Linked DNA regions of Drosophila melanogaster. The protein of the gene in region 2 purifies or fractionates together with the protein of the main gene of each other region. This does not show direct contact. Each region holds a gene or a part of one and is shown on either strand. Other genes may lie near its edges. The genes, in order: Elba3 and Elba2.

What was found.
Region 1: the proteins of Elba2 (region 2) and Elba3 fractionate together in Drosophila melanogaster (co-fractionation; one study listed by BioGRID). This does not show direct contact.

Annotation. Positions count from the first base shown.
Region 1 is NT_033779.5:4,685,543-4,689,497, reverse strand, and holds Elba3 (early boundary activity 3), read right to left. Parts: upstream 1,988-3,955; 5' UTR 1,850-1,987; coding exon 710-1,849; 3' UTR 542-709; downstream 1-541. Other genes in the region: CG3251 (uncharacterized protein), read left to right, coding at 1-438; CG11929 (uncharacterized protein), read right to left, coding at 2,393-3,955. UniProt on the Drosophila melanogaster protein: The heterotrimeric Elba complex is required for chromatin domain boundary function during early embryogenesis.
Region 2 is NT_033779.5:2,575,744-2,579,741, reverse strand, and holds Elba2 (early boundary activity 2), read right to left. Parts: upstream 2,056-3,998; 5' UTR 1,880-2,055; coding exon 734-1,879; 3' UTR 563-733; downstream 1-562. Other genes in the region: ND-B17.2 (NADH dehydrogenase (ubiquinone) B17.2 subunit), read left to right, coding at 1-123, 175-259, 316-386; insv (insensitive), read left to right, coding at 3,097-3,105, 3,170-3,998. UniProt on the Drosophila melanogaster protein: The heterotrimeric Elba complex is required for chromatin domain boundary function during early embryogenesis.

The DNA.
Region 1 (3,955 bases), 2.1 Mb from region 2:
TCCGATAATCTACATCCACTGCCACCAGATGAATTCAAGGCCTGGGACTTTGCTCGCAAGCGGCCCCAACGTCTCCACAATAGCCAAATGGGGAGACAGTCGGTACAAGGTGATCAGCAAGGATTCGTCCCTGACCCGATGCCTGGTACGGCTCCCTCGATGCCACCACCACCGGTGGCCGATCCTCGTCCGGTTAACGTAACAGCACAGCAGCCACCTGTTTTCGGGCCCTCTAGATGGATGGAACCCACCCGGCCGTTGATGCCTAATCCTTTGATGATACATCAGACAGGATCGTTCGTTTTCGTCCAACAACCACGAGTTGGTCCGCCGTCGGTCATGATGCACGTTTTGATAATTGTACACAACGCACCATACATGCTTGCGTTTGATCATGCCCCCCACCCGCCTGCACCCCAGTGCACTGCCCCATTTTAATATATTTTTTTCTTGTTTTTACAAATATGTCAATTTAAATATTTATATTTAACATGTTTAACATGTCGAAAATCAGAATAAAACGTGAAAAACAGAAATATTTATACGTTTATCATTTGCAGATCTTTATATATTTATTCAAATTACCTAAACATATAGTTTACAATTAGTATTTAATTCTAGCCTAATAATATTTACCATTTAAGTTTTAAACTTTCAACGAAACTTAGTAGACTATATATGTATAAAGAAAATGTGATGTGTTTGCCAACTAATGAAGTTCGTCTCCGGATGTGACCTCCACTACCGATCGCACCTCTCCGGACAAACGACTCTGCAGATTCTTGTTGATATTGTCCACCATGTCGAAGGCATCTATGATCATTTGGGCCTCGCCCTGCGCCTTTTCGCTCATCTGTTCCAGACTTTTTCGCAACTCCCTGTGCTCTCCAGTAGTGTCCCGCTGCTCCGCCTTCTGATACAAGCTGGTTCGCGAGAAGAGGGCGGTGGACGTCATGTGATCGGGGTGCTTCTCCAGTTCTTCGGGCAGTGGAAAGTCAATATCAAAAGAGAATCGTTGCAACTCCTCATACTTCGCGTCCTGGACCTCTTTGTCCTGGCCATAGCTGATGACCACCGCCTGGAGGACGATGTCGCTACCAGGAAGTTGCATGTAGGCAATAACGTCCTTAAAGAGATTCTCTTTCCTCCACACGGTTTGTCTGTACTGCACCACCTGGTATACCACCATCTCCGGTTCGGGACTGTATTGCACCAGCATCCAAGTGTCATCATTCATGGCCTCCGGTTCAGCTTCCAAATTATCATCGAAGGCGAGATCAAAGCTTCGCGCTTTCAGGTGCAGTAGTATCTTTTCCATATAATCACGACTTTCGTAGGCATATAGGATGTGGGCAATGCAGCCGGGAGCCAACCTCACCAGAGGATTACCCTTCAGCTCGGGCTTGGTGCTCAGCAGCATTACATTGTTTGGAGAAACAAGTTTCTGGATGAGGCGCTCGCCCGCCTTTTCATTCTCGGTGTACTGGACCAACAGTTGCTGGCCGCCGGCATCTTCCCTCTCCTCCTTGCTCATGGACAGCAATGCTGCATCCACCAGGCGCCTCTCATCCGCTGCCAGTATGAGTTTCGCCTCCAGCACCATTCCATTGACCCGGAATTCTACGAATCGGGTCATGTATTTGTCTGAAACATCTGACTCTAGGAGTTCCATCGAATGGAGAACGCAGAGACGGCGTCGACCATTTGGCTTCCCATCCTTCATCAAGCCGTCATCGACTTCGGCCAGGAACCAGGATAACCGAGTCGCTGCCAATGGTCCATTGGCGCTGACAACGGCTCCACTGTTCGCGGAGTCATCCAATCCACTGTCGTTGCTGATGTTGCTCATGATGGCGGATGTGTTTTAAATATGTTCGGAAAAGATTTGAACAAAGTTTTAATTGATATAATTGGCTTGGCTTTGGTTCTTTTCTACGCGTCTTGTTTGAATGTCTTGATAGGTGAAGAGTTCTTGGCAAACTGATGAACTCCTCCTCGCTGCAAGCTATTTTATAGATGTAAATGGGTTTAGTTAAATGGTTCTACCTGCCGTAAACTCCATACTTTTATCTAGGCTTTCTAATGTCTAACATCTGTCAGTTCGAAGGGATTAAAACTTGGTCCGGCTCATACTGGGATCTAATGTTCTAATTGTGTATTACCTGCGAAGGACGCTGATTGAGCGGATTTTCCCAATGTGCAGCTGCTTAGTGGCAATAAATGCGAATTGCAAGTTTGCGACATTTCTACATAGGAAAATAATTTAATAAAATAAGACAATATATTTTCATAAAAAAAAATTCTAGAAAAATGTTGTTACAAAGTCTTAAGGGAAATTTAAATGGTATGAAAGCTAAAGTGCATTATGGCTATCGAACCCATATGATGAATCCTATTCATCATCTTGAACGTCATTACACTGGCCAGAAATAATGCGTAGGAATAAACTGGATGTCTTGGCCACATCGCTCAAATCCTTAGAAGAAAAATTGTCAACCAAGCTACTAGTGACCGCTCCTCGGCCAGTTAGTTCTCGATTTCCCATTTTGAGGGCATTGGTCACGGAGAAGAAGCGGGACGCTTGTCCAGCGGGCAGACCGAGCACACGAGTGCAAAATTCGACGACCCTTTCCTTGTCGGCACTTCCATCTGGTGCAATCTCACCGCCGCACTGCCGACGGCAAAGTTCGTCCAGTGGACAGTCCCTGGGATCGTACTGCCTGTTTTTGTCCAGCTCACAGAACGTGGGAATGTCCTCGAATAATCCTATCCCGATAGCTTGGTTGATGGCCCTCCCACTTCCCAGAATGCAGCCTAGGTCCTTGCCGGTTGCCATCTCACGCACCTTGATGTGGTAGACATTATCCTCTTGACGCAGTATGGTAAGGACCACGTCATCGAAGGGCCGCTGCCCAATTAGCCGAAATATTTCATCCATCAAGGAATCCAGAATGGGCAGACTGCCATCGCCACAGTATTGACAACCACGTGGCGGGTTATTCATCCGCTGGGTGTTCCTAAAAATTGCACTTGGTTTAGATTCTCCTTCTAGTTGACAGGAACCCCTACGTCCGTTCGCATCCAATTCCATATCCGACGTCTTAAGTTCCGATTTCAGTGCAGTGGATTTAATATTATGAGGAGTTTTCGAACAATTGAAGCTGGTCATCGGATTGGCACCCAAAATGGTTTTCTTCTCTGATATGCTCACTTTTTTGGGTCTGTCCTCCTCGAGGCTGTTGGATCTCGTAAACATTTTTACGAATTCCGGCAGTAAGCGATCGAATGAGTAGGACTCTGATTGGGCATTCTGCGCCTGATTATTTTCACACGACTTGGATTTTGTGAAATGACTAATAAGCTGTTCAATAAAGGATTTGTATAATTCCTTCTCTACACTTTTATTGGATTGTTCGGAACTCTTTGCCTCCAAGCAAGATGTGGAGGAAACCTTTGATTTGGGTTTTTTAACAATTTCACCCAGTAAGTTTTCAACCCCATGTTCAGTATCATTTTGTTTCGTGGGATTTGCAGAGAAAGCTGAAGTATTTCTAGACTTGTCGGAAAGTGTTTCTTCGCTTTTTGTTTTAGCAAAAACCCGATTAAATTGTTCTAGAAAATTTTCGGTATCTTTTAAGCATTGTTTAGCAGTTGGGAATTGGTCACCTTTCAGATGCATTTCATATCCATTCGCCTTACAACATCTCCGATTGTCTTTGCTAGAACTTCCATTACATTCTCTACTGCATTGTAGACCAGTTGAGTTTTCCGAGTTTATTGGGGTATCTGTGGTGCGTTGAGAATTATTTGATTTCTGCTTTTCTTGAGCAGTTTCAGGCTTCAAAAATATTTGAATAAATTCTTTGGATAGCGTTTTGCACTCGCAATTAGCTGTATCTTTTTTTTGTGTAGCCTGATCAACATTTTCAGGTTTTCTTGGCAATTTTCGCTCCTC
Region 2 (3,998 bases):
TACTTCGAGAACCCGTACTACTTCTACGGCCGCAATCGCTGGATCGAGTTCGCCCCCCACGTCAACATGGACTACGATGGATCCATGATTCCCGCCGAGTGGTACGGCTGGATGCACTACAAGGTGGGTTTAGACTACATCTTGTCGCACATGTTATTACCTTTTTCCTTATAGACCGATCTGCCTCCCATTCGCGATGGATGCCGCCCCAAGTACAAGTGGATAGCGGACCACAGCGAGAATCTTTCCGGAACTAAGGGTAACTATGCACTATTCCCATTAAGTAAGCCCCCTAATTCAATCCTGCTCTTGCAGAGGCCTACTACCCCTACTCCACAACACCCAACAAAGTGGAGGCCTGGGAACCCAAGGCGAAGAAGCAGTAGTGTGGCATAGCTTATAATTATTTTTAAATTCAAGTGCAAATGGCTGCGATTGATGAGAACACCCGATCGAGTTAATAAACCCAATTTTGTTGACTCTGCACTCGAAGAACAATTTTAGCAATGGACAGAAAAGTGAAGTAACTCTGCCTATTCCCATATTATTCAGGTTTTGAATTGGTTTCATCTTGTCTTTATTCAATCACAGCTAGATTATATAACTTTACTTTTACTTTTAGCAGGACCTACTACGAATATATACAATGTCTTTCTGCGCCTTTCGTGGCGCGTCGTTGAGAAGAGCTTGATCATAGCTGGATTATATCTAGCCAATAGTTGTCCACTCCATGCTAATACTCCTCCTTGATGGCGACCTTCTGGGCCTTCTTGGCCCGCCTCTTGTACTTCTTGGCGGTATCCGCACACTTGGTAGTGATGGTGGCCCGAATCACCCGTTCCTTGCCGCCCGTCCGGTTTCTCACACAGACCACGATGTCGTCCACCTTGCGTTGGTCTAACTGGAGCTTTGGGGGTCTTTCGCGGCCGTAGAATGCGGGCGACGGCTTCCCGGTCAGCGTGTGGGTAGCCAACTCATCGCTGCTGAAGACAACGCAAAGAAGACACCTCGTGGCCACCGGGGCGTTGGTCCAGAAGACCTCACCGTACTGATGGGCTGTGATCTGGGTGCCATTGGGTCCCAGTACGTACACCGCACTGCCGTCCTCCTTTTGCACTCGGTGCGGGTACTGCACAAGAGTGTCTTTCTCGTCCTTTTCAGAGGCAGTATCTGGGATGTGCGATTCCGACGAACTGGTGGACATGTGGCGCGGTCTCTTGGAGGGCGGCGCGGGCACATCCTCGGCATCGTTGTCGTACCGCTGATTCAGGGTCTTTAGCATGGAAGTGAGACGACCAAAGAGTTGTTCGTAGTGGTGCTGACTCTTCTGGATTTTGGCCACTTGCTGCTTAAAGGATTCCTCCAGGCGAGGCAGTGGCTCCACCCGCGGTTCGATGTTCTTAATGCCCCCGGAAGCGGTGGCTACCGCTACCAACTGGGCATTGATGACGCGTCGCTTGGGCGGAGAGCTTCGGCGGACTGGCACTGCCTTAACGGGAACTGGCTTAACTGGCTGGTTGACTATTATGGGAGGCGGCATTTGGATCTGCAGCTGACCCAGGGGCTTCAGGGTCCGCTGGCGCATCATGGTCTGCTGGGCGGCCACCTCGTAGTTGATGTAGTTCTCGATGTCCATCTCCTCCTGCTTCATTATGGGCCGCGAGAGCAGGCGGTAGTAGTAGGGCACGAAGTTCGGGGCGAACTGGCTCAGATAGTGGTGATATGGGTGGGAGTACTGGACGCTGGGCAGGATAGCAGTCTGCGGATGAAAGTAGTGCGGCTCCGTTTTGCAAACGACTGACATGCTGAATTCCGGAGCCTCGCTATTTGTAAGGTTAGGACACGAGTCCTGATCGTACGGTCGAAATCCGCCGGCCATTTGCACGCGGATTTTGGCAACAGGTAAAGGCAAAAAGGTTTATTTCTGGCAAAAAACGCAGCTGCGTCGGCTTTCTTGGCTTATTTTGCGTATTATTCGTTGGAAAAATTGGTGTTTTATGGCCCGGCTTAACAGTTATTGTTCCTTGCGCCAGATACCTGAGAATCCGAAAATCTTAATCTTGCAGGGCTGCCAAGGTCGCCGAATAAAGATAATTTGCATTCGATAATTGGAAGTAGAGTCTAAAATATTCGCCTTTAGGCTTTACTTAAATTCTTATGGAAATATAGGAGTAACATGATTAAAAAACCGTTTGCTTCTGAAGGCTAGTCTTAAATACGAAATACTCGTACATGTTTTAACTCAAAAAGTTATGCCTTGAAATTTTAAAGGCAGTACCATATATCCTTGAGTGTATTTTCCGCTCATTCAAAATGCATTACAATGGACGGAATTCCAGTAGACTTACCCTTAAATAGGTATCCCTTCTAAAATGGAATTTAAGGGTGTTTTTTTTCCGATCAGAGAGCATTTGAGCGAAGAATTATATTCCAAAAGGATCTCATGTATTGGAAGGGTTCCCAATACATTCAAATTGCAATGGATAATATGCAGTCCGGGTCCTGAAAACCGGTTTTTTTTTTACAAAACCCAACTATTGTCCTTTTTGGTTCTTGGAACTGTGGAAAGAATTCTTACACATTCCTTTGTTACATTTACTTTTTTCTCTTATTTTCTGACCTTCGCCAAAGTGCAGAATACAGAATTTTAACCAAACGGATATTCTGAAAAGAAAAAGAAAAAAACTTTATAGAGAGAACTTAAAAATTTAAAACCCTCGTGACTTGCAACCGATAGTTTTATTTCATAGCCCTAGGTGTCAACCCTGTCGATGAAAGAGAGAGCAAAAGCAGCTTTATTCGCAATTATTTATAATAATAATTATAATACATATACTGGTTCCCGCGCAAACAACAAATCCCATGCGAAGAAAGGAAAAGACAGCTGGACTTGGACTAGTTGGGAAATAGACGGGGTCCTGAAACAGAAACAGGAATAGGATATCAGCTACCTGGAGGGCACACTCACACACACGCAGAGGCAGGCGCTCTCTTCCCCGTATATGCGTGCGCATGTGTGCGTGCAGGTAGGAATGCAACCACTTTTCGCATTCTGCCGCCAATTTTCAGTTGACGCAGATCCTTTGAGGATTGAACATGGAAAACGTGAGTAGCTGCAGGATATCTCCACCGAATATGTTGATCAAGAGTTTTTCCCATCGAATTGCAGCAATATCAGCGCATAGTCAGCGCCACTGCACGCGAGGATTCGCAGGCAAGGAGGAGCAAGCCCTTGTTTCTGAATGCCTGGTCGCAGACTTCTAGCGTGGACTTCGAGGTGCTTCGCAGCATCTCCGCGCCGGACCCGCAAGTGGAGGTCGAGAACAGAGCGCTCCGCGATAAGGTCCGCTACTTGGAGGCCAAACTGCAGCAGCACAAGGATCTGCTATCCCAGATTCATGCCACCTCCGCCAGGATGCAACAGGCATCCTCCCTGCTGGCAGAAAGTAGACCACCCACGCCGCCCGCGGTCCAGAGCCACCACATTCTCACGCCACCGAGTTCAGAGATATGTGCGCCCGCGCAGAATCCCCAGATTCTGGACTACAAGATCATCTCGGCACCCGACGATGCGGATGCCATTGAGATTCGCCTGGCGGCGGAGAGTCTGAACAGCCTGAGCACCTCTGCGGACTCAGATCGCCTGGAGATTTGCCTGGGCGACGAGAATCATCAGCAGAGCAATCATCACAATTCCCAGCAGCAGTACAGGATTAGCAACGGCATAAAGAGGGATGGTTCCTCCGAGTCCGCCGACACTCCACTACAGTTCATCAAACGCCGCAAGCTGCAGGAGATTCAGTTGCAGGAAGAAATCCCGCGGCAGAACATAAAACTACCAGCCAAACCCCAAGTCAAAGCCCGTAATGGCAGTTTTACCGATCTCAACAAGGGCCAACAGCAAAACATGGACAACGTGATGGTGTCCATTGGCCCGAACAACACCTGTGTGCCCGCCAGTGTCTTCGAGAATATTAACTGGTCGGTGTGCTCGCTGG